3 linked regions of the Notamacropus eugenii genome follow. The protein of the gene in region 1 purifies or fractionates together with the protein of each later gene. This does not show direct contact. Links are inferred from orthologs where the notes say so. Each region holds a gene or a part of one and is shown in the gene's direction. Other genes may lie near its edges. The genes, in order: FHL2, CTNNB1 and TNKS1BP1.

Region 1 (10,203 bases):
TCACTTAGCCCTAATTGCCTCATCCTGGGTCATCTCCAGTCATCCTGATGAATATCTGGTCACTGGATTCAGATGGCTCAGGAGGAGAAAGTGAGGCTGGTGACCTGCAGAGCCCTCCCTCACTCCAAACAAAGTCAAGTGCAAGTCATGTCATCATTTCTCTGATGGCATGGTCTTCTTCAAAAATGAAGGATGAACACATACACATTTGGGAAAGGGGCCCATCCTTCATTTCTCTATCAGCTATGTTTCTAAATCTCCAGATTTAACATTCCCCAGACTGGGTATCTTTTCTATTACAAGTTAAGCTCCTTGAGGGCAAGGACTGCTTATATCTTTCTTTGCACCCTTGGCATATAGCAGAATGACTGGCACTTAATAAATGTACTTAATAAAATTACTTAATGAAATACTTAATAAATGCTTAATAAGCAATAATGGCACAAACCTAAAAGTGTCTCTCTACTTACCTGAGCTTGATAAGGTTGAAGTGATTTGACCACTGTCACAGAGCTATTGAGTCTCAGGGCTGGGACTTGAAGTCCGGTCTTCTGACTCAGCATCCAGTGCTCATTCCATCATGTTTCCTTCTCTGGCTAGCCATTGAGCCTAAGATTCCACAATTCAGAGTTAGTCTGCACACTGTACTAAAATGGCTTCCCATATTCGTCTCTCCTCCCACATCATTCCAAAGTGATCCCCAATATATCTTTGTACTTATAAAAGTTGAATTTTCAAAGTCAACCAGTGCAGGAATTTATTTCTCTTGATTATGCATATTTGTTGCAAGAGTTTTAGAGTTTGTTTTTTTTTCTTCTGGAGCAGAAGCAACAGGGGGCTAAGCATAGAGTTGCCATAAACAAAGACAAGAAAAGAGGGTCATTTAAGCATTCTTCCCTGTATTTTTTAGTGTACAAAATAGAACAGAAAGAAAACCAGAAGAAATTTTAGATAAGCAGGAGAGCTTTGTTTACTATATATTTAAAAAGAGAAGTAAACCGTACCTAATAGAGTCATGGTTTCATATTATATAATTATATAAATTATAAATTATACTCTTCTATTCTACTGGGTAAATGGAAGTGATAATTGTACTTGGTGTTTAAGTTCAGAATTTAAAAAAAATTAAAATAAATACCAATAGATTGTAAGCTTTTTGAAGAGTAGACTTCCTGTTGTTCTTACCATCACCACCACCACCAAAGAAATTACCTATGTGCCCATGTTTCTCACATACTTCTTTGTGTACATACTGTTTCCCTTTGAGTAAGTGAAAACTTCTTAAGGATAGGCAATGTTTAGTTTTTGTTTTTGCACAATGCCTGGCACGTAGCAGGTGCTTAATAAATATTAATTTATATATATATGTGTATATATATGTGTATATATATATATGTATATATATATGTATATATATATATACATACATATATATATATTATAGTCCCAGAACCTGGAACAGTGCCTGGTACATAGTAAATAGTAAATATTTCATGCATTGGCCACACTGACTGGTCAGTGCTATAAAAATTATTGAACTCATTGTGAAAATGATCATTACCTATCTTTTAGGGAAATGATATCAAACTTCCCTCTGCCAGGAAAATTCTCCAGTACTTCTGGAGTCAGATAAAAGTGCAAATGGGACATATATAACAAAATAAATAAAAATACAATCCAATATAGATAATGTTAATTTGTGATTTTCCAAGTCAAGCTACAAGATTCATTTCTATTTGAGTTTGACACCATTGTTTTAGGGCATAGTGTCCTCTCACCTAGATGGATATGACTTCCATTCCAACCCTCATCTCTTCATCTTCCCACCCATATGGGAAGGAAAATGACTTGTGTCATATGACCACACTTAAAGGAGCACTCCTTAACTCTTAGGTGGATTGTATTGATGAGGCAATAAATTTTAGTAGAAAGAACTCTGAGTTTTAGTGAGGGAATCTGGGTTCAAATCCCAGATCTGCCACTCACTATTTGTACAACCTTAGATAAGTGTTTTAACCTCTGGTCCTCTTTCCTCATCTTCCAAAATGAAAAGTTTTCTGGGGCATGGTAGAGAAAATCCAGAGTACAATTTGGAGAGAAATGAGACGTGGCTGGCTTGGGCACCCTCCTTAAATAGAAGTTCTAGGAGGAGCCATCCTATCAGAGAGAGAGGTCAGAGGAAGGGAGGGTACTTATGTTGTATGAATTCCAGGCCTGGAATGAGCATTCAGGATGAAAAGGCTTCTCAGGCACAGTAGAGAAAGTTCAGAGAGCAGTCTAGAGAGGAATGAAAGGAAAATTTCCCTGGCAAAAAACCTAGCCCAGCTCCATGAGTGCATGAAATTTTCCACTCCATAACACTGTTGGGTAGCAACAGCATTAGATGTGGTATGAGTTAATGATAATCCTGGGGACTTAAGGCACAGCTCATCTTACTTAACTCAGCCAGTGCCTTAATGTATAATCTTAGAGAAGTCCAAAGTCATTTAACTTCCCTTTTTCTCTTATGCTCTTTCAAAATTTGGGGGAAATTATACCTTCGGTTGGATTGAGAAGTAGAACTCAGATCCATCACTAATTTGTATGAGCTTTAGAAATGTATTCAAATTCAAATGAAATAGGCAAAAATTACCATGCTTTTTGGAAAGGGCATGAAAATTCTTGTTAGACACATGGAAAGTGGTACTATTATAGTTGTTGTGACGTATATAGTCAATGGGCAACTCTTTCATGCCTATTATCTTCTATCCTTTTAGTCTCCTGTCTTCTGAAATAAGTATTGTGAAATGCTTTATGTGAGTGCACTTTTCAAAATTAAATAATCAGAGTTGTTTATGATTAGCTATTGGGGTCAAATGCTTACTTCAGCATTTCCAGGATCTCCAACTAAACTACTCTTTAGATGACAGCCTATCAGCAGCTCTTCTACGGTTCTCAATTCAATTCACCAAGCATTTAAGTTCCTATTATGGACAAGGCAATGCATTATTCCCATTATCAAAGGTGATGTATTAGAGTAGATAGAGAAGCCTACTTACGGTGATAATCATCTTTCCGTTTTTCTTTCAGTAACCTTTAATTTTAATTCTTTTGAAATTGGCATTCCATGATTCTCAGACACATGACAGTACTGGGAATTTTTTTTTTTTTTTGTCTAAATTCTTGGAGTCAGAAAGACTTGAGTTTGAATTCTTCCTCAGATACATATTAACTGTGTCAACCTGGGCAAGTCACAACTTCTTTGTGCTTCAGTTTTCTACCCTAGAAAAAGAGGGAGTTGGAAGCTGGTAGCCTCTGAGAACCCTCCCAGCCCTAGGTTCATGATCTTATGAAGATTTTTTAGCTTTATAGGACCTTCTAGAGCAGATGTGTTAAACTCAAATAGAAAGGGGGACCACTAATCCATACATCAATATATTGACTTTAAAAGTCAATGTTCTATTGTATTTTTATTTATTTTATTTTTTATAAATATGTATATATATACATATATGTAATATATTTATTTCATTAAATATTTCCCAATTATATTTTAATTTGGTTCAGGCAGGACTCCCATGTTGCAGACCACAGTGTGTTTAATACCTCTGTTCTACAGCATGTATTCAGCTGCTATAACCCAAAAGAACCCAGTCTTACCTCCTTAACACCATGAGGCATCAAAGGGAAGCATGAAATAAAAGTAAATGATCACAAAAAGTCACTCTTTAAATAATATCTGGACTGATGTAATGTCTTGCAGTAAGTTAAATTGTAGTCATGGTTAGATAATTTCTGGCCCTGAGGTGAAGGATGTAGTCAGCTTTTAATAAGTGCTTATCTATTGACTGAGAGGCACCCTATTAGCATTCCACCACTCCTACCACATGCTCATTTTTATTTTGTCCTTCCTTTTTCTCTTTCTCCTTCCATTCCTTTCTCTGAAAGCCTTTCTCTCTCCCTTTCCTTTTCTTCCATTTCACCTGTTTCTAGCTTAGGCTTAACAGCAATACACAAGGTCTTCTACATTGACTTACATACGTGGAGCTCAGGAATTACAAACATACTTGTTGTTCATTATTACTGCCCCCACTCCCCCCACAGGCTATCCAAGGGTGTGATGCCAAGATTTTCACGATGTGAATCTTCTCATGAGGATTAAAGAAAGTCTTGTGGGGTAATAGTTTCAAGAACAGGACTTGAAAGCTCACCACTAGAAGATGATGGAAGAGCCCTCACTGATGCCACAAGTGTTTTAGGGTGACTGAGTCAAAGGTACTTCCAGTTCCAAGCTACCTCTAAAGGGCTGACTTCTGAAGTTATCCCTGGCCCTCCAAACCTGTAATATGTTCCTGACACACCACAGTTGTGGCAATCTAACAGTCTGTCATAGGCTTGATAAAGCTGAAATTCTCCCCCTTCCCCAATATCCCCCCTCCACTTTGCTTGCTGAGTTATTTACATAGGACAAGTGTGTCCTTGGACTGAACTGACCAAAAGGGGAGCCTGGCAGCCCCCTGTCATTGGAAAGTCTGAGCTGTCTTAATTCAGATGCCTTAAAAGGCTTCCATAGCTGAGGTGCTTCAGTTCTTATCTTTTGTGGATGGCTGTTCCTTTAGTGATACTGTATTTATAGCTCCCTCTGGCAAGAGAAGACCTGTCTAATTACTAAAGACATAGTTAGGAGTAATCCAATAAAGCAGTAAACCCCTGCACTGGCTGCTGTCCTCTCATTTCAGGCAAGGGAGCCGACCAAAAGGAGCTACCACTGACTGGGTTGTAGCCGAGGTAAGGACAAAATGACTTGATCCACAATAATTTCTTTTCCCCTTCCTTCCTCTCCGGTTCCTGGGCTACCAGCAAGATAACAAATACTTAATGTGGGGAAGCTTTGATGTTTAGGGAGGAGAGAGCTTTAAAAACTGTTAGCTTTCCCTTCAGCCGTTTCTGCCTACACAATGTCTCTTCATGCCAGTCTGGGACTGCCATCCAGGTGCTAAACAGCTGGGCTCATTATGCAAAATCCTGTCCCTCTGCAGACTGTGCTGAAAGAATATTTTTCCTTCCATGTGGACCATTCTTCCCATTCAAATAGAAAATTGCATGGAAAAGGGTTTGGGTTTTTGGGGGGTTTTTGGCAAGGGGGTTTCTTTTTCCTTTTTTGCTTCACATACACTGAATATTTGGAAACTGGAAAATTCCGAAACAATAAAGAACAACAAAAAAATAGGGATGAAAACCTCCATATTGCATTTGAGGCTTTGCTCCGTGACAGCATTTCCTGATGGCCTGCGGGTGCCTCTGGGTGAAAGGCAAATCACTGATGAGACTGATTACACACTGGGAAAGTATGTTTAAACAAAACGACTTGTTATGGCTTATAGTATGAAAGCACAAATAGCTGTTGTGGGCTTTCCAAAAGGAAATGCAGTCACGCTTTTGCAGTGGACTCTGGCCTGATGTGCCTAGGACTGAGTCATGAATGCAAGAGCCCAGCCAACGCCTTGGCACCCCATGTTGGTTGCTTAGTTACTTTTCCTCAGAAGCCAGGCAAGTGCTATTTCTTACCTCCAGTCTATGAAAGAAAGCAGTTTGTGGAACCCCTTTAGGATGTAAGTACTGGGGGCCAAGTCTAACCCCTGCTTTGTAAAGCAAGTCATATTTCGTGAGATTTTAAGTACTTGTATTTGTGCTTAAGAAATGTTGGGGGAGGGGAGTTGACTAATGGTAGATCTACATCCTTGTAATAAGTGCTTGCTCTACAATGGGGCTCATGGTCAGATATGATAAACAAGAGTTTATGGCAAACAGAATGTGTTGTTCAGCCTTTCAGTCGTGTTCAACTCCTTGTGACCCCATGGACCATAGCACACCAGGCCTTTCTATCCTTCTTCATGTCCTTCACTCTCAAAGTCTCTCCAAGCTCACGTTCACTGTTTACATGACACTATCTATCCATCTCATCTTCTACCATTCCATTTGCCTTTTGCCTTCAATCTTTCCCAACACCAGAGGCTTTCCCAATGAGTTCCATCTTCTCGTTATGTGGCCAAAGTATTTAAACTTCAGCTTCAGTATTTGATCTTCCAGTGAACAAAGTGAATTAATTTCTTTGAGTATTGACTGATTTGATCTCCTTGCTGTCCAAAGGATTCTCCAAAGTCTTCTCCAGCAACACAATTTAAAAGCATAAGTTCTGTGGCGCTCAGTTTTCCCTATAGCCTAACTCACAGCCACACGTTGCTACTGAAAAAGTCATAGCTTTGACTACATGGACCTTTGTCAGCAAGATGATGTCTCTGCTTTCTAGCACGCTGTCTAGATTTGCCATAGCTTTCCTTCTAGGGAGAAAGTGTACTTTAATTTCAGACTGCAGTTACTGATTGCAGTGATATTTGAGCCCAAGAATACAAAACCTGACACGAGTTCCGTTTCTTTTCCCTTATTTGCCAGGAAATGATGGGACCAGTTGCCAATATCTTAGAGGTTTTCTTTTTAATGTCAAGCTTCTAGCCAGCTTTTACACTCTCCTGTGTCACCCTCATCAAGAGGCTTAATCTCCTTCACTTTCTGTCATCAGAATGGTATCATTTACATATCTGAGATACCTTAATTTCAGCTTTTGATTCATCCGGTCTGGCATTTAGCACAAACGTATCTATAAAAACATGCATATGCGTATAACACAGTATGTTCCAAATGTCTTAGTGCAGTTGTCAGCTTATTAAAGTTTAAATTGCACTAAGACTTTTGGAACATTGTATAACAAAAATAATTTACAACACACACATATGCTACATTATTATACATTATGATAATATAGTATGCTTTCTGTGTACACAAATGCATTATAGTACATAGGTATATGGCCAGACTAGACCATATGTAATTTATAAATTACAACTATATTTGTGACAAATCTAACCTACATGTATTTGAATTTCACAAAATTTAAGTGTAAAAATTAAATTGTAGTCAGTGTATTTTAGGGTTGCTTCATACTTCAATATTAAATTAATCAGAGCCATCCTTCCCTAAACCATTCTGAATAAATGAGAGTTCACTAATCCTGATGTAGAATCTCAAATTCAAAATCAAGTTAGCTCATTGATATTCAATAATATTAATTTATCACTTTCTGGGTTTTCAAAGCACTTTATATATGTTATCTCATTTGATCCTCATTTAACACACAGAAAGAAAATTGCTCCAGAGTACTGTGAAGCTACTTCTACTCTAGCAAAATTATCAGCAAAAAAAATGAAAAAAAAATTAGTTTAGCAATTTTTAGATTAGTCTATATGACACCAAGCATCTAACTTTATTGATTTGTTTTCTACCCAGGTTAATTTGGCTTCCTGTAATTGTACTCTCAAAGGTCTTTAAATCATGGTTGGACAATTAAAAGCAGCAATAACATGTGCTTTGAAGAATTTGGTATTTAACAGATGTATTTTATAAATGTCATGCTATTTTTTAAAATGCTATCTTGTAAAAACAAATTTTTTTTCTAACAGAGAATTTTTAGAACCTGAGGCTGTTAACTTTTTCTAAACTAGAAAGATCATTTTTAAGTTTGAGGAGTAAGGATAGAGAAAGAAAAAACTTTTTATTCATTTTAATAGCAGTCTTTTCCTCTAATTAATAACTGATGATGGAAAAATGGTCAAATGAAATCAGAACAAGTTAATGTCATCATCAAGCCATTCAAATAATTCACATAAGCTATGTTTATGTGTTTCCAACATACCTATGAGTATTAAGAAAAATACCTGTAGTAGAGAAAAAGGAGAGCTAAAATGCATATTGAGGATATAGCCAAGGGAAAAATACAAAAATTCCATTTTGGTTTGCAAGCATTTTGCATTTCTTTGCATTGTGACATCTAATTAGAATGAGAGAAGGTAGAAATATCTGAACTAGCTGTGGGGAGCCATTTGTTTTCACAAGGGATGAGTTGTAACTGTGTTATGTTTGCTGCTTGGGCTCCTAAGCTGCTTTCTCCTAGGTTGATCTATCTAGATCAATTTCAGTAATGTCAATCTGTGGTTTAGTACAAATACAAAATGAAGGACGATAGGATGCTGGTTTAGTCTATTTCTTCTGAGACCAGCTGCATGTTTCCCAGAGCTCAAAAATGTTGATATCAGTATTATTCAACAATCACTCCCATAAGTTCCAAATTTTCTCTCCTTCCCTCCATACTCACTCCTCAAGATGGCATGCAATCTTATATGGGCTCTACACATACATTCCTATAAAACACATTTTCACATTAGTCATGTTGCATAGAAGAATTAAAACAAATAGGAGAAATCATGAGAAAAACAAAACATAAAAAAAGAGAAAATAGTCTGCTTCATTTTGCATCCTGATTCCATAGTTCTTTCTCTGGATGTGGATGGCATTTTGCATCAAGAGTCCTCTGGGAATGTTTTAGGTCCTTGCACTGCTGTGAAGGACTAAGTCTATCAAAAACAATCCTCGCACATTGTGGCTGTTACTATGTATAGTGTTCTCCTGGTTCCACTCACTGCATTCAGCATCAGTTCATTTAAGTCTTTCCAGGTTTCATAAAGTATAGAATGACTTGTTATAAGATTCACCATGCATACTTTTTCCAATCATCCATCCTGAGTTCAATCATGTGTCTTTTTTAGAAGTCATTAAATAGAAAACTACTTTATTTTACTTATCTTGAATAAATGTTCAATTTTTAAGCAATAGAATGAGAATGATCATCATCTTAGGTCAGGAAAAGTCAGTTTTGTTCATTAATTCAATTAAATTCAAACATTTATGAAGCACATATTATTTATAATTCACTATGCTAAATACTAGAGATAAAAAAGAAAAACAAGATAAAGTTCTTATCTCCAAGAAATTTTCATCCTAATAGAGAGGGTATAAGATATGTCCAAAAACAAGTATAATATATGTTAGAATATAAGTGCTGTGCCTGTGAAGTTTATTTATTTATTTTACCCCAACGACATTTAAGTTATATTACATTTTCCTTATTTTGTTGTTGTTCAGTCATTTCTGTCATGACTGACTTTTTGTGACCATATTTGAATTTTCTTGGCAAAGATATTGGAGTGGCTTGCCATTTCCTTCTCTAGTCCATTTTACAGATTAGGAAACAGAGGCAAACAGGGTTAGATGACTTTCTCAGGGTCACACAGCAAGTAAAACCAGATTTGAACTCACAAAGATGAATGAGTTTTCCTGACTCTAGGCCCGGCACTCTATCCATTGCACCACCTAGCTCCCCCAGATAACTATAATGTACATTAGACCATAAATGCTATGACTGTGAAGTTGATTTTTTTTTACCTTAGTGATGTATAAGTTATGTTATATTTTTCCCTACTTAATTTCCTCATATTAGAATTGATCTTTCATTCAAGCCTATTGACTTGAAACTCTACTCCAATATCTTATCTATCATTTCTGCTTCATATCATCTGTCAACTTTAGAAATATGCCATTGAGAAAAAATGTTGAACATCACTGGGCCAAGGAAAGACCCCTGGAATACTCCTCTATAGATACCACTCCAGTCTGACATAGAAACCATTGGTAATACATCAAACCAGTTCCAAATTCAGCTAATTATATAGTGTCATTTAGCATACATCTTTCAATCTTATCTGTAATAATAGCTAGAAGGATTTTGTCAAAGATATTTTGACTGCATTTTGGATAGTGTATGTCTGTGGCATTCTCCCACCTTCTAATCAATACCCCTGTCAAAAAATGAAATGAGGTAAGGCTGATAAAACATATTTTTGTTCACATCAGTGTGAATGAAAATTTTAAAAGTCTATTAATGATAACCACTTCCCTTTCTAAGTGCTCAAACACAACTTATTAAAAATATATGTTCTAGAATTTTGCCAGAAATCAAAGTTCATCATACTATATTGTGCCTACTCCACCCTCTTCCCTTTTCTGAATATCAGGTCCACATTTATTCACCTGCCTCCTGTCCTCTAGCACCCTCTCCAGTTCTCCAGTCTTTTCAAGATACATTAGAGTAGTTCAATAATCACATCGGCCAGGTCTTTTGGTACCCTCAGATAGAGTTCAGCTGGTTCCAGTAACTTGAGCTGGATAGCTAGGTGCTGTCTTACAAATCAATCAAACAATCTTTTATTTAAGTTCCTGCTCTGGGCCTGAGAGTATGCTAGGCACTAAGAATCCAAAGACAAAACCAAAACA
Region 2 (10,203 bases), on another chromosome or scaffold:
TTTGGTTTGTTCATGCTTTTCACTCTGCACAGCAGGGATGTTCTTAAGAAGTTGCCCTCTGCGAAATTTCACTAAATGGGAACCGTGGACCCTGCATGATGTGATTATGATCACACCAGCCACCCCTTTTACATAATTTTTTGTTTAAGATCCAGTAAGACTCCTTGTTTTTAAAATATAGAGACAAATAGCCATATAGATATATGTGTATGTGTCGATTAGACTATGTGGTTTTTGTGTCCCTACAGTCAAGTGTGAGCTGAGACTAAAACCAGTGATATCTCATCTACAAATCTCAATGGACTCAAAAAACAATATGAAAATTTTTAGCTGACAAGAACATGTCTGCTGCCTGCAGTCACTGCAATAGCTCACCATGTTGCCTACTAACCGAAAGATCAAAAATTATCGATTTCATGGCGCTGCGTGCTCGGGATAGAAAGGCTACTTTAAAATTTGCATTGTTTAAGAAATGAATTAAAAGAAAAGGATCATGTTTTTGGAACACTTTGGAATCTAAAAATGGCTTGATGTTTTAATCTTATCAATGATTTACTATAATTCTATTATTTTTGGCAGCTGGAGTCCAGAAATGATTTTTTTCCGATGAATTTAGGATTTTGCCGCAGTATACATCTGCAGTCCCAGAATCCTCCGGTAAGATAATCCTTCTTGCGATGGGGAAACGCCTTTAACCTTTTCGTGAATGAAAAAATCTGCAACCATTTTGAAATAAAAAGGGGGCCAGAATCATGATTTCTAAGGGATGGGATGATATTTATCTGGCACTTTACAGATACTCAAAAATCCTCACCATTTTGTGTTTTATATATCTTAGGCGATGTATCCATTGCTCATCCTCTACTGTCAGTGGTGGTCATAAATATTTACTCGTTGGGTCTGACTAGGACTGTTGTTTCACTTTGCTGAAGAACTAGGGGCATGAAGCAATGAAATGTGCTGTGTTTTCTTTGTATGGTTATAGAACTGCCATTGCTGTTGCCGCCATTACTGCCATCCCAGTTACCATCACCACCACTAGGATTCTTTCTCCCTACGGTGAAGACCAAACACAAGTTTTCACTGTAACTCCTCATTGAATTTGTCCAGTGGATTCTTAGATTACTCCTGTGTATGAGTGTAGTCAACAGTCTAGTTTGATAAAGGGTATTTACAACTACTTAGTCTGCTCAGCTGGAAATAAATCAAAAGATTAAACTGAGCCCTGAGATGATGTATTGCAAATCAAAACTCATGATCCATACGTAGCCCAGTTGGTGATATGTTCAACGAAAAGCTTATCCTGATGGTTGCTTAATGTTTTCAGTTTTGCCATAAAGCAAGGACAAGGGCAGTTTCAACAAGGAAACTTGGCCTTCTATTCCATGCAGGCTCAAGTGTTTATTGGCAAAGCCAGGATATGGTCTTACTTTTGCATTGAATCTTAGTATTCTTAGCCTTCTTCATTTAGACATTAGGGTTGGAGTGCTGCCCATAGGTAAGGACCTGGGGAAGACAGGCGAGAAGGAGGTCACGCCTTGGTTGCTGGTGTTATTGATTTCTGACTTGATAATTCTTTCCTCTGTAAGTCTGACTAAATACTGGAAATATGCACTGACTTAAGGTATACAATGTAAAGAATTAGATGTCTTTTTAAAATATAGATAGATAGATAGATAGATAGATAGATAGATAGATAGATAGATAGGATGTTTATTTCTATGAGATTTAACTGTCCAGGCTCAAAACGGGTCTTTTGCTCATAATGTTGGCTGAATTAATGTTTATTTCTTTTATTTACAAAACATTCTGGTTATTCATTTGCCTACTGGTGATTAAAAGACACATGTTTTAGAAACAGAAAGCTTTACACTCATGTTCCACTATAACTACTGCTTGATAAGCCAATAATCAGATATTACGATGACTAATGCCTCCATGGTGAAATCAGCTGGAGACATTTTTGGTTTCTATAAACACACCCTGAAATTCAGAACTTAACGGCTGCTGAAGATTCACAAATTGAATTAATTTATGTCAAATACAAGGGACTGACTCTAGAACAGAAAAGTGAGTAAAAAATGAGAGTCATGTGTATTTCTGAAACAAATGTGCATAGTCAATAACAATAACATTTTAGTATCACTTATTTGACTGACTAATCTTATATTTTGATCCCTGATATTCTCCCTACCATGATAACAATATCTATCTTCATTCCACACGCTATTCATCTCATATTTTCAAGGAAATAATTGGAACTGCTACTGTCAAATTCAACTAACTTGTTTTACTGTGATCATGAACAATGGTTCTTTCATAATTGGAGTTTGATTGAGACAAATAATCACTTACTGTGTCACTGCAATGTTTCTGATTTATATTAAAAATCAGTGTTTATTTAGGCTCAAGAATTGAAAACCATATTTCTGCAGTTGGACTAAAATACTCAACTTGCAGAAGCAGACCATCCATTTGTGCACCTCTTTGGAGAACAAAGTGTAAGTGTGTGGGTTTTTTAGCTTTTAAATGGCAATAAAAGGAAAGAAAGCCATTTCTTTCAATGTAATAGCTTGCTGCATTTAAAAAATGATAAACATGTGAATGGCATCATTTCTTTTAAAAATCATTTGGTATTTATTCAGTAGTTTTAAAAAATTAAATCATAATTAAGCAAATTAATCATAATGTGTATATTTAGCCTGGGATTTAGGATCAAAGATTTGAGAACAGGATGTTTGATTTGTCTTAAATTGTCAGGAACTTTGCTACTTTAAAAAATTTTAAAGGAGTAGCTATATTTTATATTTTGCTCCACTGGAATTATGACCAATTAAGTTTACCTTAATCTATGATTTATGCTTATCTGTTCTTTAGCATCTGTGATATTATGAGAAGAATCTATAGAACTCCCTGCAAAGTCACACAGACAAACAGGGAGAATATTGTTCTAAGCAAGGGATTTAAGTCATTATCTGAATATCATCTTTGTAGTTAGGCTTTCTCCATTGCAGAAACATACATATATTTGTCTGAATGGTATTTGACATAAAAAAAAGAGAATGTGGCAAAATTGTCTTTAGTGCAGTCACAAAACAGATTTATTTAAAGAACAAATCAGCTCTGAAAGACTGTGAAACTACAAAAACTATACCATGAATTCATCCCGGGAAAGTGAATAACTAGATTTCCAGAGTAATACCTATACGCAAAGGCCCATTCTTTGTGAATGCATTAATTACAGCTATTCTATATAGCCACTAAGATAACCTTTGTTGCTTGTCTCTGTGTTAAATGAGGAAAAAAGCTCAAGACAAAAGAAAAGTCATTCTATCATATGATCAAGCTTTGACAAATACATTGTTAGATTACTAATGCATCTCCATTTTTTTTCCTTGAAAATGCCCCTAATTTCAGCCTGTCAGAACAAATTAGAGAAGATAGGTCTTTTGGAGGGTGTGTGTATGTGAGGGGATTAGTAGATTTTGTTTGAAAATAAGTAGAGATTGCATATTAGGCGGGGATATTTGTAAACTACATACTTGAACTTCTTAGACAAAAGGCACTACAAAAATTCACACACACACACACACATACACACCCCTAAACCCACAAATAAAGCCATAGACATGACAACACATTTCTCAGCACAGTTGAACTAAAGTAAAAAATGGAATTTTGTGAATGATTTTTAGGAAAGCAAATGTAATTCAAAGATTATTTTAAGTTAATCCATAATCCTAAATTATACTTCGATAGTTGCTATCAGTAAAGACATAGTGAACTAGGACTTCTTGATTATTTAAATAATAACTCATGTCTCTAAAGTAGGAATGGAAAATGGTTATTATTTTGAAGGTGTGCCTCACCAAATTATACATATCTGCAGAAAAAGAATACTTGTCTTATCCAATCTGTGTTCCAGAGGCTGAAAGATGAAGTACTTTTCCCTCATTCTTATAGATAACTGGTAGTCTGTGGGAACAGAATATTGTATTGTATTCTGTATTACAGGTCAGACATGATGCCCTATGGGTTTGTTGAACTTGGATTTGACTTAAAAGTTGTTTTTTTTCTTTTTGGTTAAAATGGAGGGTTCTTGGGGGGGTATTGGAAAAATAACAGTGGGATAGAAAATATCAATAAACCGTTACAAAAAGAACATCTTATAAAATCAGCTTCAGGATGAAGGGGCCTCCGCAGGATTTTCCCAAGATAGTCTTTTTTTTTTTGTCAGGGAACATTACATAGGCACAATTATATCATTTATATGTAATATATAATTATTACATGTGTGGATATTTTTACACATATATGTAATAATTAGATTAAATTGTGTTTGAGTAATCACTTGGTAAATTAGATCAGTATGGGCTTCTCAAGTGGCGCAATTTTTTTTTAAAGAAATTCTTTGGGAGTTATCTATCTTGGCAGTCTACACCGATACATTTCCCTAAAGGCGAAAGTTATCTTTTGCATTGTGCTGTGGAGAAACACCCTAAATCACACCTGAAGGACCCAAATCGAGAAACCAGTTGCCCTTGAACAAGTGTTAGCCAGACCTTGAGAGGCTGGTGCCCACCTGGCTCGGCCAAGCGGGGAGGGGGCGTGAGGCCCCAGCCCTTCTTTGTCCGGATATGCAGCTCTCGCCTTCCCAGTCCCACGGGAGGGAAGGAGGAACCCAACTTCCCTCCAAGCACCTTCCGCGTTCCAGCGCCTCCCAGGGCAGGTAGAAGCCGCCTTCCTCCCCTCTGCCTGGCCTGCTGCGGAGGCTGGCTGGGGTATGTGCGCACTGGTGGCAGAACGCCGGCTGAGGACGCAGGGTACGAATTCAGCCTAGACGCTCCTTTTGTCGGCCTCCTTGGAGTCCGGAGCGCTGCCCTCGGACGCTCCTTCCCCTCGTCCACCGAATTAGGATTCACTAGAAGGGGAAGCGGGGGGAGCAAAGCCTGCCCGGCGGCCGCGGAGCCTGCAAACCCCGGGAGAAGGCAAGAGGGGCGTCGGGGGTCGGGTTCTCCGTCTAACCTGGCTCCCTCGGCCCAAAGCGAGCAGAAGTAGCCGGGGGAGGGCATGGGGCATGTACCCCCACCCCGGCCAAGCCTGGCATCCTTGGCACAGCGAGAGCTGAAGCAGCAGGGCGCGGGCCGGAGCCTGGAGACAGCCCTCGCGCCCCGCAAGTCTCTCTGCTCACTCCCAGATACCCAAACATTTTTTCCATCAAGCAGTCTGGCGGGTGGGGCGGGGTGGTGGAAAGTGCACTTTGGGGAGGTCACATCTTGTTCGGCCAAGAAAAAGAGGGTCGCCTGTGGGACTCGCAAGAGAGATGGAGCAGGGGCGCAGGGAAAAGTGAAGGATGCTAAGCAGTTGTCTACGGAGAAATGTCTGATTGGATGAAAAGAAAGAAAGAGAGAAAGAAAGAAAGAGAGAGAGAAGAGAAAGAAGAGAGAAAGAGAAAGAAAAGACTTGAGAGACGGAGAAAGAAAAGAAAGCTTAAAAGGAGAGGAAGATAGGAAGGAAGTTGAAAAGGAAAGGAAGACTTAGGAAGAGAAAGAAAAAAGCTTTAAAAGAGAGGAAAAGGAATGAAGGAGGGTAGAAAGTTTAAAGGAAAGGGAGACTGGAATAAAGGACGAAAGGAAGGAAAAGCTTCAAAGGAGAGGATGAGAGGAATAAAGGGGGGAAGGCAGGAAAAGAAGAGGGTCGTGGCCCCCGAGGCATCCCCGAAAGCGCAGGAGGGCTGGAGGGGGTCGCTGGCACCCCCGCCTCCGGGCCTCCCCTGCGCTCCGGCGGCTCAACTTCCCAGAGCATCTGAGGGGGCCTGGCGCTAGCGGGGACCCCCATTAGCGCCCCCGTCCGTGGAGCCCTCCTCCTCCCGCTCCCCCGGCTTTCCCCCTCGCGCCCCCGGGCTCCTCGGGATGGGGCGCGGGGAGTGCAGCGCGCGCTAGGCTCCGGCGCCGGGCGCGCCCCTGGGCCCCGGGGTTAAAGTAGTATTTTCCCCACCCCAGAACCCCGGGGGCGCGGAGTGCCCCGCGGACCCCGCGCGGCCCGAGCCTCCCGCTCCCATTGGGTGGAAGGCCCGAGGATGGCGGGTGCGTTTATTTCTTCTTAAAGTTAGACCTTGCAGGGAAAAGGGGACGGGCCGGGGCCAGGAAGGCCCGACAGTGTGGAGGGGGGCAGCTGGGGAGGGATTGGGTTTCCATTGTGTGCCGGGGTCCGCGCGGGTTGGGGGGGTAGAGAAGGAGAAGGCGAGTGTGCATGGGAGGGGGGGCCGCAGTCACGCCACCGCTGCCCCTTTAAGGCCGCCCTCCCCCTGCTGCCCCTCCCCCTCCTCCCAAGAACTAGTCTCGGGCTCCCACCTCGGGAAGAGGAGGCTCCGGGCCTCATCACACCCCCGCCCCTTCCCCAGATCACTGCACCCCCACGCTGTGGCTACGCTTGGCGGGGCCGCGGCCTCCGCCCGCCCCTCCCGCCGCCGCTCGGGGCCCGGGGGTGTGGGCAGCGCCGAGGCGGCAGTCCCCGGCCCCCGCGGGCGTCCTCTCGGCCGCCTCCCGGCTGGCTCTGCCGCGGCAGGGCGTGGGGACTATTTTCCCCGTCTTCCATCCCGCCCCTCCCCCTCCTTCGCTCCCTCCCCCGCGCGGTGGAACGCTCCGCGCGGCGCCGGCGGCTGCTGCGGCCTCGGCGGCAGGATACACGGGGTCCTGCGCGCCGTATAAGAGCTCCGTGTGCGGCGCCATTTTAAGCCTCTCGGCCCGTGGCAGGAGGAGGATCCCGTGGAAGGGAGCCGGCGGAGGCGGAAGGCGGAGGGCGCTGGCGCTGAGGCGGCTCTGGGCGACGTCGAGCGAGCGGAGCGGAGCGCGGCGGGGCAGCAGCCGGAGTGCGGAGGCGAAGGGACCCCGGCGGCGGGCGGCGGCCGTTCCCCTGAGGTGCTTGTGCGCTCGCTCTCCGGGGCGAAACTTCCTCGGAGGCGCGAGCCCCGAGTGGGAGGGAGGGACGGGCGGCGGGGCGGGGTGGCGTGGCTGGCGGGCCCGGCCCGACCCGGCTCGGTTCGGCCCGGCCCGGCTCGGAAGGCTGCGGCGGGCCCGGCCCCGGCCCGGCGAGGGGCGCATGGATGGGGCTGCCCGCCTCCGGGAAGGGGGGTCGAGGGGCCGCGGCCCGCCGGGAGGGAGCCCCGGGGCCGGGTCGGGGGCGGGCAGCCTCCCCTCGGTGGTGGACCAGGCGCGCTACGGGGAGGGGGAGGGGGCAGGGACCTCTGGAAGAGAGGGAGGGGTATCCTGGGCGGCAGGGGCTTCTGGAGGAGATGGGGGGCGCGCTCTGCGGGGGGCAGAGTCCCGATGTTCCTGAGAAGTGGGAGCGTCGGGGATCGTGCGGGGGCTTTCTTACTTTGGGGTGGGGGTGCCGCCTCTGGATCCAGCCTCAGCTTTTGCAGAGCTCGGCGGGGAACGTGGAGGTTCCGCTCCCCCAGAAGGGTTCGTAGTTCTGAGAACCGTGGACTTTGCGGGCCAGTTTGAGGGGTTCCTATTTGCTAGCAATCCGTGGGGAAGGGGGAAAGTCTGGTCCTCTTGGTCAGGGCTGGGATGTGAGAAGTGATTTTTCGCTTCAGATCTGTGTTTTCTTTACGGAACCGAGAGAAAGGTTTCATATGTGTATATACATATACGTACATGTTTTTTATTTTAAAAAGAATAATATTGTGTTTGTGGCATTTCACTACTATGTGGATTTGAGCAGCACTCCTACCGGAGATGCTTTTTCTGCTACATCTGGCACTGGAACATGAAAACCAAGCAACTTTTAATCTGAGCCAAACTCAGGAACAGCAGAGATTTTAGGGTTTGCTTACTTGGGTGCTACCCGACTGGTTTGAATCAAATAGAATCTGATATCTATCTACCATTAGGCTTCGTGTCTTTATTTTGTTTCCTAACTGATTTAGGAATATTTGTGTCGTTACAGTAACTCCTAACTTTTAAAGCTTTTTGTGGTGAGTTGAGTTTCTTTTTCTTTTCGCTACTAAATTGACCAAGTGAAACTTGATACAAGGCAACTTCTCTCAATGTTTTGTCTAGGGTAGAGACTGTTTCGAAAGGGATTTGGGAAGGAAGTTCCCACAACAGGCTCTGTGTTATCAACTATATACTTAACATTTTTCTCCAGCTTGAAACGCTTCGCATTTCTGTGTAATGGTTTTCTTCGTTTTCTTCTCTCTCGAAATATGCATTGTTCCCTACTTTGTATTTTACAGACATCTGTCTCCCCTCCCCCAAAGTATGTGAGTGGTGCATGGAGTGAGAGGCTCGCTGCTGGTATGCGGAGGTCGGCAAAAGGAAATCTAGGAGTGGTTTTAGTGAAATGAGAGCTTTGTAGACTAGACATAAACTTGGATACTCGAAGGTTTCTTTGAGACAGGTTTTAGTCAGAAGCAACGAGTTTTCAGATTTTAGTTCAGTGAAGTTATATCTTTTATATGTAGTCTTATGATTTAAGATATCACTCAATTATTCTGGTTCAGTCAGTCTTGGGTAGGTTTGATGATTTCCAAGTGTCTTCAAGTTTTTTGCTTCAACTTCACTGAAAAAGCTTATTGGATATCTTGTGATGTTAATGGTGCAGTCTACTGGTTGCTTGAATTAAGGAATTAATTCCATTTGTACTTTAATGAGACTTAATTTTTACTTTGGAATAATAAATCTTTTGATACATTATTTTAAAGCAAAAATTGCCACTCACAGGTGACTGGTGTTTTCTGTTCCTGTTTCTTTTATACTTTCTTCATAACAAATTAGATCAGGATTTCTTAATTTTTGAGTGTATCATGGATCTCTTTGGCAGTTTGTTGAATCCTATGGATCGCCTTTCAGAATGTTTTTAAATGCACAAAGTATATAAGATGACATAGGAAACTAGTTGTTAAAATATACTTATAAGAATACTGCCAAAAAAAGTTTATAGACCCTAGGTTAAGAATATCTGCATTAGACTATTTATTTCTGAGGTGAGTGATTGATCAATGTTGCAGAATAAAAGATTCAAGGCTATTATGGCAATAGTCTCATTGAGGAACTTTTAAAAGTTTGAAATTAAATGTATTTTCTGAAAGTTAACTGTAGAAACTACTTAAATATGAAAGTTTTGAGAAGTAAGTTTAGCATTTGAAATCCTCATAAAACCCACTAAAAACTGCCTTGACTATCCATTTTACTACTAGGAGATCAGCTCAGGTTCTTAATGAGGCTTAATTAAGGGACTAAGAGGGTTCAACAAAGCTGTTACTAATATTTGAGAGCCTCGGGTATATACATAAATACTTTGTACAAAAATGATTTTTTAAAAAGTTGTGACTTCATTGTTGTGGGAACTCGACAGATTGTAAACCCCCTTCTGTATGTATGGATTGCTATTGCTTCCCTTTTCTTCTCCCTGGCCTTCCCCCCACTTCGGAGAAATTTACCTGGTCACTGTCTGATGATTTAACTCCTAAGAATTAAAGATCTTGCCCTTCTTACTTGGTGCCCTCCAAGTCACAGTGAGCCAAATCATTAGTGAGCCTTAAGTGGAAGCTACCAACATGAATCTGTTAAGGTTTACTTCGTAGTTCCTCTTCTCACTTCAGCTTTTGGTCTTGTTCACTATACTTGGGAATGCCTCCAGTTGTACAATCTCCTGCTTAATATACACCGGCTGTGTTTCAGGACTTAATCCCACAAACACTGAACAGGTATCCTGTGTAGAATATGCAGAGAATGGGATATGATGAGAATGTCCCTGCCTTCAAGGAGCTTACATTGAGGTAGAGACCTAGTCGAAATATGTTTTCCAAGATATACAGTTAAGATTTTGTAAGCACTGTCTTTATGCAGTACCCTACCGTATTAGATTGTTGAAGGTATTTCATGCCATTTTATAGTTTAAGAAACTTGAAACTCAGACAGGTCCAAGGTTGCACGGGTGTCAGAAGCCGAATTGAAACCAGGTTTCTCCTGACTTAAAAGTTCACAACTCACTGTCCTTAAAATGAAGTCCAAGACACTTCTGTTATTTGGAGCTGCCTCTCTGGACCCTGATTCCCATCTGCCCTTTACGCCGTGCTCAGCACTTTGAGGTGATAGTTTTGTCCCTTAAACCTTTTTCTTAGGTCCACAATCTGTTTTGTATTTGGGTGTGTCATACCCATTAGACCTTGAGAGCACTGTTCTATTTAGTTTGTTT
Region 3 (10,203 bases), on another chromosome or scaffold:
GAAAGGTGAAGGTGGAGAAAAAATCTGCACCTTCCAAAGGCTCGTCCAAGTCTTCATCCAAACAACTGAGTGAGAGCTTCAAGAGCAGAGAATTTGTGTCAAGTGATGAGAGTTCTTCAGGTGAAAACAAGAGCAAAAAGAAGAGGAGGAGGAGTGAGGTAGGACACATGAGGGGCATATGGGGTCTGGAGCCCCACTGAGGACGTTTTTGGTTAGCCTGGACTCTCTGAGCCCAGCCTTGATGTAAGAGCTAGGTTATAAAGAGAGTCTGTTATCCTCAAAGCTGACATTCAGATGAGAGAAGTGGCAGAGAAATAAGGTATCTACAGAGCAGGTGGAAGGTGATCTGAGGCAGGAAGGCAGGAGCAGCTTTGGAAAGCAGAGGGCAGGGTTTGAGCTAAAGAAAGTAAGATGCCAGGATCAGAATTCCAGGCCTGGGTACCAGCCTAGGCCCAGAGGCAGTGAGAGTAGTGTCCTGTTGGTGGTAGGCCAACTTTGCTGGAGTGTAGAGTATGTGGAGGGAAGAAAAGTCAGAAGATTGGAAATATTTGAAAGGGCTTGTTTATGAAGGGTTTTAAGTACCAAATAGAAGAATTTTTATATGATCCTGGAGCTCATTGAGCTGGGAACACAGTCAGAAAAGTTGCCTTGGCAGCTTTGTGGAGGATGGGCTGGAGAGGGGAGAGACTTGAGGCAACAGGTGCTGAGATAACACTATGGGTGACGAAGGATGGTGGTGCCCTTGACTGTGACAGGGAAGTTCAGAAGCTTTGGGGGAGGGAAGGGAAGACAAGTTCTGTCTTACCCTGTTGAGTTTGAGCTTCTCATGGGCTATCTGAGGTGTCTACCAGGCCCTTGGGGATGGGATTAACTCAGAAAGACTTGAGGGTGGGATACAATCAGTTATTAAGTATTTATGTGCTTACTATGTAAGCCAGGCATTGTGCTAAGAATACAAATAGGAAAAAAAAAGATGTTACCCTGCCCTCAAGGAGCTTATGTTTTAAGGGGAAAAAAACATATTAAAGGTTGGAATGTGGGGAGGGGGGAGGAGGAAGCCGCATGGTGGAAAAGTCTTAGAAGTCCCAGAGGAGAGCAAGTTGAGAGAGGCTATATTCTGAACTGAACTCTCTCCTTACGTGGAAATTTTGGAGTTGATGGGGGCAGAGTAGTGAGGGGGGAATCATGTCAGCTGATGGGATCTTGCAGGATGATGAAGTCAGTGCACAAGGAAGTGGAACACTTGTGGGTTCCAGGATCTGACCTTAACCCTATGTTGGAGTAGAGGTCGTCCTGGGAATTGAGTGGATTGAGGATTATAGTATTTGAAAGCACATCAGTATGTATATTCCAAGTACCCTCATGTGAGGGCAAGAGATGGGGGAGCAAGACTGAGCCAGTGGGCTTGGGAAGGGTATGACATTTGGAAGAAATGGTGCTTTGGGCAACTGGGTGCGTGAACCTCACCTCCATGGTCCCCTCTGTATTCCCACAGGATTCTGAAGAAGAGGAAGAACTGGCCAGCACACCTCCCAGCTCGGAAGAATCAGGATCTGGGTCTGATGAGGAGTAGAGCAGCATCTCCCCTGCTGTCCCTGTCGCTCTCCCAACTCCCCATCTACAGTTTCCATCCATACCCTGTTACCAGCAGCCCCTAAACTGAGAAATAATCCCTGGACTCAGCTTGCAGTGCAGCCCTCCTTGATTTATGGACTTGAGTGACTGGGCAGGGAGGGTTTATCCTCTGCACTGCTTCACAGGTGTGGCACAGTTGAATCTGGGAAGGTGAAGGTTGGAGCACAGGTTATGTGGGACCTAAAAGCTTCAACCCAGGCTCTGCTTTCCTCTCCACGGTACTGCCAGCTGATCCCTTCTCTCTCCCTTGGCAACTCTTGGGAAGCTGCAGTGGGGGTCACACAGGGCCAGCCTTGTAGCCCCTTGCCGGGGCCTATTTCTATTTTTATTTTGTATCTCTGTCAGTGGAAGTCACAAAAAAACGATTTAATAAAGCAAAGTGACTTTAGCAGCCGTGTTCAAAAGGACCTCCACCACGCTGTTGGTCCTCTCGCCTAGGACACTTTTCAGCTGAAGCAGCAAGCTCACTCCTTGCTTCCTGTTGGTTGGGGGGGGGAGGGGGGGGAAGGGGGGGGTGCGAGCGCACCATGGCCGGGAATCCAGTCTTCAGGTACATTCCTCTTAATTCCGATCTGAGTGATTATTTTCACCCCCTGCTCCCAGGATGAACCACTTGAGATTTGGGAAGTGGCCACTGATCTAATTAGGAAAGGTTGCCCAGCCATCCTGCTCCATTATCTGGGCTGTATTTGAGCTCTTGTCTCCAAACATAATCACCTGTGAGCCACAGCGATCTCTAGGCATGTGATAATTAAATCAGGATTGAGTGGCCTCCTGTAATCTGGGCAGAAGAAACACGAGTCGAAGAGGTGTACGCAATGGTACAGAACCATTATTAGAGAGGATGGAGAATCTGATATGCAGGAGGGCTGATGGGCCTGTGCATGCCCTATTCTCTATACTGAATCTGAGAATCAAATCAGCCCAGTTTTGCCCTTGGAGCCTGCAAGCCCTGCCTCTAACGTGACCTTGGCTAACTCCTGGAACTTCAGCGTTCTAGGCAAATATGAAGACTGCAGGGCTGACCTTTACTGGTAGAGGGAGTTTTCTCATTGAGAGTTCCCTTTACAAATGAAATCTGAACCAGGCCCTGTATTGAACTTGGTCCTTGTAATATATAGATAGGTCTTTAGATACCAACACCTGGTCCAGAAACTTGTTTGTTTCATGGAGCCCTTTGGCAGTCCGGTGAAATCTCGGGGTATTTAAATGCCTAGAATTACAAAGGAAGCAAAGCTTTTCTTAATACATGCCTATGTTATATATTCATATAAAATACACATACACGTACAAGCTCACAGAAGCCAGGGCGAGAATCACTGCCGAGGTGATTTGGGGTCTAAGCCTGGCTTTTGCCCCGGGGCCTGTTTGCTCCTCTGGAAGCTGAGGGTGGGGTCGTTTCCCGGGGCAGCCTTCAGCCCCGGGGTCGGAGCTGTTAAGGGTCACCTCGGTGATGGGCCTTCAGGTTTGCCCCATGCTTTTCGAGCCTCTCCCTGGGAGGCGCAGGAAAACTTGGTTGCGGTTACTTGGTTCCTGCCTGAGCGGAAAGCCTCGGGATCCGTCACTCTCCAGGGGCCCCTTAAACAACCTACTGGGCGCAATCGCGCCTGCGGCCCAGGCGTCCTCGGGGCCTCCGGCCAAGCCCCTCGGGGCTGCAGTTTCCTCATCTGTAAAGTCACAGGGCTGGGTGGGCTCGCCCGGGGGAGCGCTCGGGACTCGGTTTCTGTCCGTGTAAAGGCTAGGTGGGCACCGACGCTGCCCCCATGCCCCCGGGGAGGTGCGTAGGAAGCTGCTCTGAGGGGTTCCAAGGCTCCTCTCTATGGCGGCGCTCGAAGCTTGGGGCCACGGGGCCTCCGCTCCTCCGGCTCACCGCCCGGGACACTCTAGCCGGTCGCCTCGGTGGTCCCCGACCCTTCTGAAGCAGTTTCTGCGGCCTAGTGGCGCCAGTGGCGGGTGAAGGCCGAGTGCCCGGCGCGCCCCTCGTTTACATATTCATAAATAATAGTGGGGAAGGCGGAGCCCACGAGCCCTCGGCGAGGTTGGGCAGCCGCGCTCCGCCCGGGGGCGTTTTGGGCGGGGCCGACCATCTCATGAATATGCATGAGCGGTCTGGGGGCGGGACCGGGCGATGAGGGGGCGGGGCCTCACCCGGGACTCTCAGTAGGTCTGTCCCGCGGTGACGGCGGCGGCTGAGGCTGGGGCCGGGCCGGGGCGAAGAGCGGGGACGCGGGCCGAGCAGCGGAGACGAGCCGGAGCCCCGGGGAGCGCGTGAGTGCGCGCGAGTTGGGGCGACCCGGCGGAGGAGGGGGCGGGGCCCGCGCGTGGGGGGGGGAGCGGGAGGAGGAGGGGGCCGGGGTGGGGGGGGGGCCGCGTGGTCGGGGTGGCCTCGAGGGCCGCGGAAGCTCGTGCCCCGGGTAGGGGAGCTCGTGCGTGGGCGGGGGCAGGAGCCGGGGGGCGCACTCAGGCTCCCTCCCCAGAAAAGCTGGAGAGCTCACGCTCGAAGAGCCGCCGAGGCCGAGTCGCCTCCGAAATCCTGAGAAAAGCCGGGAAGAAAGAGTGGGAGGGCTGGGGGAGGGGGCTGGGGGCGGGGCGGGGGAGGGGGCCGGGGGCGGTGGCAGCTGGGGGTGGAGACGGGGCGGGGGACCTGCGGGAGCGACTTGGGCTGCGCCGGGGTGACGAGTGGCTTCCCCGCGTCCTCCCGCAACTGCCCCCGACCCAGGTCCCGATCCCGCGCCCCCCGGGGGCTCGGCCGCGTCAGTCCCCGCACCTGCTGCAGCTTGTCCTGCGTACGGCCCCGGCCCCGCGCTGCCTCCCCGGCCCCCCCCCCCCCCCCCCAGTCTGCAAGCCCGCACGGTATCCATCAAAGAACACCGACCCGGTGCTCGGCGCGGTGGGTGATGGGTGCTGGGACACAAAGGCCAAGGAGACCTCGCCCCCCCTTCGGCCTCCCCCCCTCCCCCCGGAAGGAAGTCGTTGTCCCCCTGGGGCAGGGCCCTTGTTCCAGACGGCTCTGCAGGCCGGAGTCAGGAGGCTTCAGAGCCGATCCCTTCCAGGTGCCCCCCCTCGGGTTTCCTTCCAGGGCTTGTTATCCATTGCTTCGCCTGGCCACCTATGGTCATCTAGACCCGTGGGCTCCTGACCCTGAGCTTGCAGGATGGACCTCTCTCCCTAATCCTTCTCCCACCTTGTTCTCAGTCCTGTCTTTCCTACTGCTCTTTACTCGCTCTGACTGCCCTTGTAGGTGAGACAGATTCTCAGTGACTCCCTCTTATCCTGGTAATTCCCCCTCCCCCCCCAATTCTTTCAGTGGTTAAGACCTTAAGAAGACCTACTGTTGGTTTCCTTTTTGTAAGAAATACCCTCTCCCCTTCTCCCCTAACCCTCCCCCCCCCAACAACATTGGCACCATTGCATTTTTTCTCCATGTAGGCTGCCTGACTTCATTCAGTTCCTTCCTGCTTTGTGAAGGGAAAGGGGGGTGTGTGTGTCAGATTTGCAAAAACCAGGCCCTTAGAATTCAGTGTGATTTTGTTTTTTTCCAGAGCCAGCTGGGGTGTGTGCCATAGAGGGATGGTTAGGCCCAGCCACCCCACCCAGTGGAGATCAGGTGCAGGTTGTGTGAATTAGATGATGGGAAGGAACCTTGAGACACTGACTGACCAGAGAGGAAAAGGTGCTAGTGTGTTAGATTCCCCCTCCCCCCCATCAGGTAGATAGGGTCCTGGTTCTGTGGGCTGGAGCTAAGAGGTTACAGGGTAGGATAGGGAAGTTGGAGCAGTTTGGGAGCCATCAAGGAGGTGACATACCAGAACGAGGGAAGTGTGGGAGTTAATGGAAAGGGCTAGGAATGCTTAGGAGGGTGAGAGGCAGGTCTGTCTGGTGACTGAGGCAAGGAAACAGTTCCCGTTTGATACAGTTATGTCCTAAATATGGAGAGAGTAAGGGAGGGGTGGACAGGAGTTGTCCACTCTCCAGGTAGGCTCTTTGAAGTCCTTGGCCTCTTTCTGTAGTGGAATGGTGTGGCTCGGCAAGCTTTCTTCCGCTGTGGCTCTCTCCTCCTCCCCCAATCCCTTCCTGTCAACCTGGAGGCCCATACCCAGTCCCAGCAGACCTGTCACTTCTTTAAAGGATGCGTAACCAGCCTTTGGGTCTTGGCAGCAGGAGTCAGGGCTTCTAGAGCCCTTACCCAGTTCTCTATGGGTGCAGGGCCTTCTCCTTCTGCCTCTTGGCGAAGAGCTGGAAATCCAGTGGGAGGCCATTGCTATAGCAACAGGCACAGGCCCTGGCTTTACCTCATCAAATTCCAGCCCGACGCCAAAAACGATTGAGAAATTTAAAAAAAAAAAAAAAGGAAAAATGTATTCCAGATGTTTACTTTTTATTCCCTGTTTTTCCGTGTTTGGATGGAGGCAGCTCTGACAGGGCTCTTGAGGGAGGGCTGGGGAGGCAAAAGAGGGGGGAGCCAGGGGGTGGGAACCACTCCCTGCTGAGGGAGGGAGACAAGGAAGGGACTGGGGCACCGGGGCGGAGCAGTTGCAGGTTGATGTGGAGCGGGTTTTTCCCGTCCCCCACGAGGTGAGGTGAAGTGATTCACGGGAAAGCTCAGCCTCTGAGGCCCAAGTGCCCCTTTCAGTCTGGTGCCCAACTTGGTACCCACAGTGGGGTGGGTGTGGGGCAGCTGTGACTGTGGGAAAGGTAAAGTGGGGTCCTGGTTAGGAGACTGGGCTGTTCCGGAGAGCTTTGGGGGACAAGAGGGCTTTGGAGTTGTTCCAGGGCCCATGCTTGCTGCTGGGTACCCCACTTTTTTCCCTTCAAGTTTTTTCCCTTTTCCGGAGTTCTCCTTGCCTAGCCCTCCGCCCTCTCCCCTCCCTCCCTCCCTGCCCAAATTCAGCTTCTCTTGACCCCTAATCCTGGCTGTCTCCTCTCCCTCTTTCTCCCCTGCTCTTGTGTTCCTTCTTTAGGGTTTGCTGCATGTGATGAATTTATCCACTCTCAGGGAAAGCTCCCCCATGGCTTCCCGGCCCCCCCAAGAGATGGAGGAGGAGCTGCTGCTGGCTGACCCAGTGCCAGGTACAGATGGGAATAGGGTGGAGCTGGGTGTCTGGGGAGGGAGACACTGTTCTCCCAGGAATGAGCCTGGGAGCCCATGATGGGAAAGCGGGGGCCAGAGGAAGCGGGAGGGGAGTGACACAGAAAATAGGAGAGAACTTTGGAGATGGAAGGAATTTGAGAGGGCATCGAGTCACACACTTCCTCATGAAGAAGTCTGGAGTTCTCTGCTTATTATCAGAGAGACCACTGCTTGAGGACGGGACAAGTGACTCAGGGTGAATCATGTCATTGGGAAGCAGGGGTGGAGAAAGCCCCCAGGTCATTCCTGACTGGCACTCCAGGAGGGTTTCAGCCCCTGCTCCACGGGATGGCCTGGGATGTGGAGGGTGAGCCAGGCTAGAATGAAGAGTGAACCCTATGGGGATAATTGGAGTCTGAGTGTCCCCCTTCCTCAGAGTACTGGAAGCCCCAGGAGGATTTGGGGGTACTTAGGATAAAAGAGGCAGTATTAGGGCACGAAGAACACTGGCCTTGGCATTCAGAAGCCCTCTCAGGGTCCTGTTGCTGGTGCTGAATGACTGTGTGGCCACAGGCAATTTAATCAGGTACTCTAAGCCTGTTTCCTTTTCTCTAAAAATAGATTAATAGGTAGCAATTATATGGTGCCCACTCTGTGCTACTTTGATAAGCATTTTGCAATTATTAGTAGGTGCCATTATGATCCCCATTTTACAAATGAAGAAACTGAGGCAGAGGTTAAGTGCCTTGCCCAGGGTCCTATAGCTAGTAAGTGTCTGAAGTTGGAGTTGAGCTTAGGCCTTCCTCACTCCAGGCCCAGCACTTTATTCCCTGTGCCAGCTAGCTCATATACGCAGCATGCTCTAGTATGTGCTTGACCAAATGTTGTGAGGCTGAAGTGACAGTCACCAAACATTTTGTACGTGGCAGGCCCCTTGGGGTTAACAAGAAAGGCAAAAACACTGTCACCTGCCCTCAAGAACCTGACGTTTTAGTGGTAGAGACATGTAAGTGCCTAGGTCTGACGATCTCTTGTAGCAAAGGGAGGGGAAGATGATGGCAGCCTGGGCCTGGGAGAGCGCTCCTGCATAAGGTAGAGTTGAAATAGTCTTGAAGAAAGTCAGAGGAAGTCAAAAGGGAGCTGAGGGGGTCTGATGGTGCTGCCCTAAAGGCCTCTGGCCTTAGTTTCCTCCTCTGCAAAATGAGGGGTTTAGATGAGACGGCCTATGGGGAAGATGGCTTTTAGCCCTGGAGCTGTGACTCTGTGGGTCTATGAATGTGCCAGTATTATCTTGTCGCCTCATTTGTGTTGTTTTCATTGACTTGGCCATCAGTGATGTGCTTTCCAACATCTCTCACATCTTCCCCTCCCTGCCTCCTCTTTTTTGTAGGGGACTCAAAGGCCAAACCCCCAGTAAAGCCCAAACCTGAGCCCCGGACGCTGCCTGCCAAGCCAGCTCTGCCAGCCAAACCCAGTCTGCTGGTGCCACTGGGGCCAAGACCCCCCCGAGGCCCATTGGCTGAGCTACCTTCTGCCAGGAAAATGAACATGCTGGCAGGACCACAGCCCTACAGTGGCAGCAAGCGCCCCTTGACCTTCTCTCCTCGGTCAGCCTCCGATGCACCTTCTGCCGCAGCTAGCCCCAGGGAGACCAGCAAGGATGAGGGGCCCCCAGCCACCCCTCCACCCCGCTGCTCAGTCCCGATGGGGGTCCGGAAGGCTCCTGCTCCTTTCCGCCCTTTGTCTGATCGTTTCTCTACCAGTACTGTGGAAGAGATCCTGGCCAAGATGGAGCAGCCCCGAAAAGAGAGCTCCTCTAGCCCTGACCGCTTTTGGGGCTCCCGCCTCACCTTCAGCCATGATGGCAGTTCCCACTATGGCCCAAGGGCCTATGGCCCACTGCAGAGCCCCGGGGACGAGGAGACAGTATCCCAGGAAGACCAGGCAAAGCCTGAGGAGGGGCAGGAAGGAGGCCCGAGTTCAGCTGGGCAGTGCCCTGCAGAGCCCCAAGGGGGCCGACCTGAAGGATCTGGCAGGATGCTTGAGGAGAGGTGAGTTGGGATATGGAGATGGCCTGGGGGAGTCCTTCAGCCTGATATCTTCCATGGTAGCCTCCCAAGCTTCTGCCTCCCTTACAGTCGTAGAATCTAGAGCTGAAAGGAACCGCTGTCTGAGGAACGTTGTATGAGCCTAGCCCCACATTTTAAGGATGAGGAAACAAAGCCAGAGGAGTGAAATGGTCACCCAGGTGGGAAGTAAGAGAGTTGAGTGTGAGGCCAGGGCACATCCCAGTTGAAAACCAGATCAGAGCTTTGGAGCTGGGATAGACCTTGCAGTTGTCTAGGCCCAAGATTTCCAGAGGAGACAAGCAGCAGGTGATAATTCTCTGTTGTATTGATTTCCATGGGGCCAGAGTCTCTTAATGTCACTATGCCTAGGACCTTCCTTTGCAGGCTTCTGGTATGTATGGGTCAGCGTAAAGCCCCTCTCCTTCACTGTCAGGGCTTCCTCTGAGCCGAGGAAAGGGATTTGGAGTCTGAGGACTTGGGTGTGAATCCTGGCTCCTTAGGCTGTGAGGCCTAGGACAAAGGATTTCCCCTCTTTGGGCTCCAGTTTCATTTGTCAAATGAAGGGACTGGACTAGAGACCTTTGAAGGTCCCTTCCAGCTTTTAATCTGTAATCCTCTGATGAGGAGGCTGTTTGTCCCCAAGCAGGTTTCAGGCCTTCAGGGACATGTGCTGTTATAAGGGGCCGCATGATAAATTGATATCTCACGAGTTGCAAGAATGGTATACAGAAGAACCCACATTTTATGTAACAAAATTAGGGATTGATGATTTATTTTACAGATGGCATTACCATATGGTTTCTTTAAATAGCAGATTCCTGCTCCCTGTCCTCCACCAGCCCCACGCCAGTGCATCTAAATCATGATTCTGTTGGCAAAAAACGTACTTACTTACTTCTTTTCAGGAATGCAGCAAACCTGTAACCCCCAGCCCTGCCTGCCTGTTGGGATGGGAGTTTGCAGTGCATTGTGGGCCCTCTCTCTGGGAGGGAGGGACAGAGCCCTAGGGGATCATAGCTGAGCAGCAGAGATGTTAGCTGTGACTCAGGCCCTTCCTCTGGGGAGCCAGCCTGTGGCAAAACTGCCCTTTTGGGGCCTAGTCCAGCCTCTTGTTGGGCTGAGAAGCAAGAAGTGTGGTGGGGTGGGGCTGAGCACTTTCACTTAAGCCAGACCCGGAAGGAGGAGACACCTGCTTAGCCAGCCTGGCATCTCTCTCACCTGGCTGAGGCAAAGGAATGGGGGTGGTGGCGATGACAGAGAGGTTAACCCTTCCCACTCTGGTACCAAAGCCTTGTAAGAAATTACCACCACAGCTGAGGGGACAGCTGGCCTTTCTTGCTGGGTAGAGGGCCCAGTAATGTTCCATCCCTGGAGATTTCCATCTCATTATTAAAGTCACAAAGCACCTTCCTCTCAACCACTCTGTGA

What was found.
Region 2: the proteins of FHL2 (region 1) and CTNNB1 purify together in Homo sapiens (affinity purification with western blotting; 3 studies listed by BioGRID, with this or other methods). This does not show direct contact. The link is inferred for Notamacropus eugenii from reciprocal best matches to the Homo sapiens genes FHL2 and CTNNB1.
Region 3: the proteins of FHL2 (region 1) and TNKS1BP1 purify together in Homo sapiens (affinity purification with mass spectrometry; 3 studies listed by BioGRID and IntAct, with this or other methods). This does not show direct contact. The link is inferred for Notamacropus eugenii from reciprocal best matches to the Homo sapiens genes FHL2 and TNKS1BP1.

What each region holds. Positions count from the first base shown.
Region 1 is NC_092877.1:200,472,511-200,482,713, reverse strand, and holds the start of FHL2 (four and a half LIM domains protein 2), read left to right. Parts: upstream 1-4,677; 5' UTR 4,678-4,767; intron 4,768-10,203. UniProt on the Homo sapiens protein: May function as a molecular transmitter linking various signaling pathways to transcriptional regulation. Negatively regulates the transcriptional repressor E4F1 and may function in cell growth.
Region 2 is NC_092874.1:44,338,282-44,348,484, forward strand, and holds the start of CTNNB1 (catenin beta-1), read left to right. Parts: upstream 1-4,708; 5' UTR 4,709-4,823; intron 4,824-6,473; exon of another isoform or gene 6,474-6,920; intron 6,921-10,203. UniProt on the Homo sapiens protein: Key downstream component of the canonical Wnt signaling pathway.
Region 3 is NC_092873.1:2,909,962-2,920,164, reverse strand, and holds the start of TNKS1BP1 (182 kDa tankyrase-1-binding protein), read left to right. Parts: upstream 1-3,785; 5' UTR 3,786-3,903; intron 3,904-4,633; exon of another isoform or gene 4,634-4,688; intron 4,689-6,129; exon of another isoform or gene 6,130-6,210; intron 6,211-6,240; exon of another isoform or gene 6,241-6,330; intron 6,331-6,596; 5' UTR 6,597-6,611; coding exon 6,612-6,705; intron 6,706-8,096; coding exon 8,097-8,757; intron 8,758-10,203. Other genes in the region: FACT complex subunit SSRP1, read left to right, coding at 1-158, 1,496-1,573.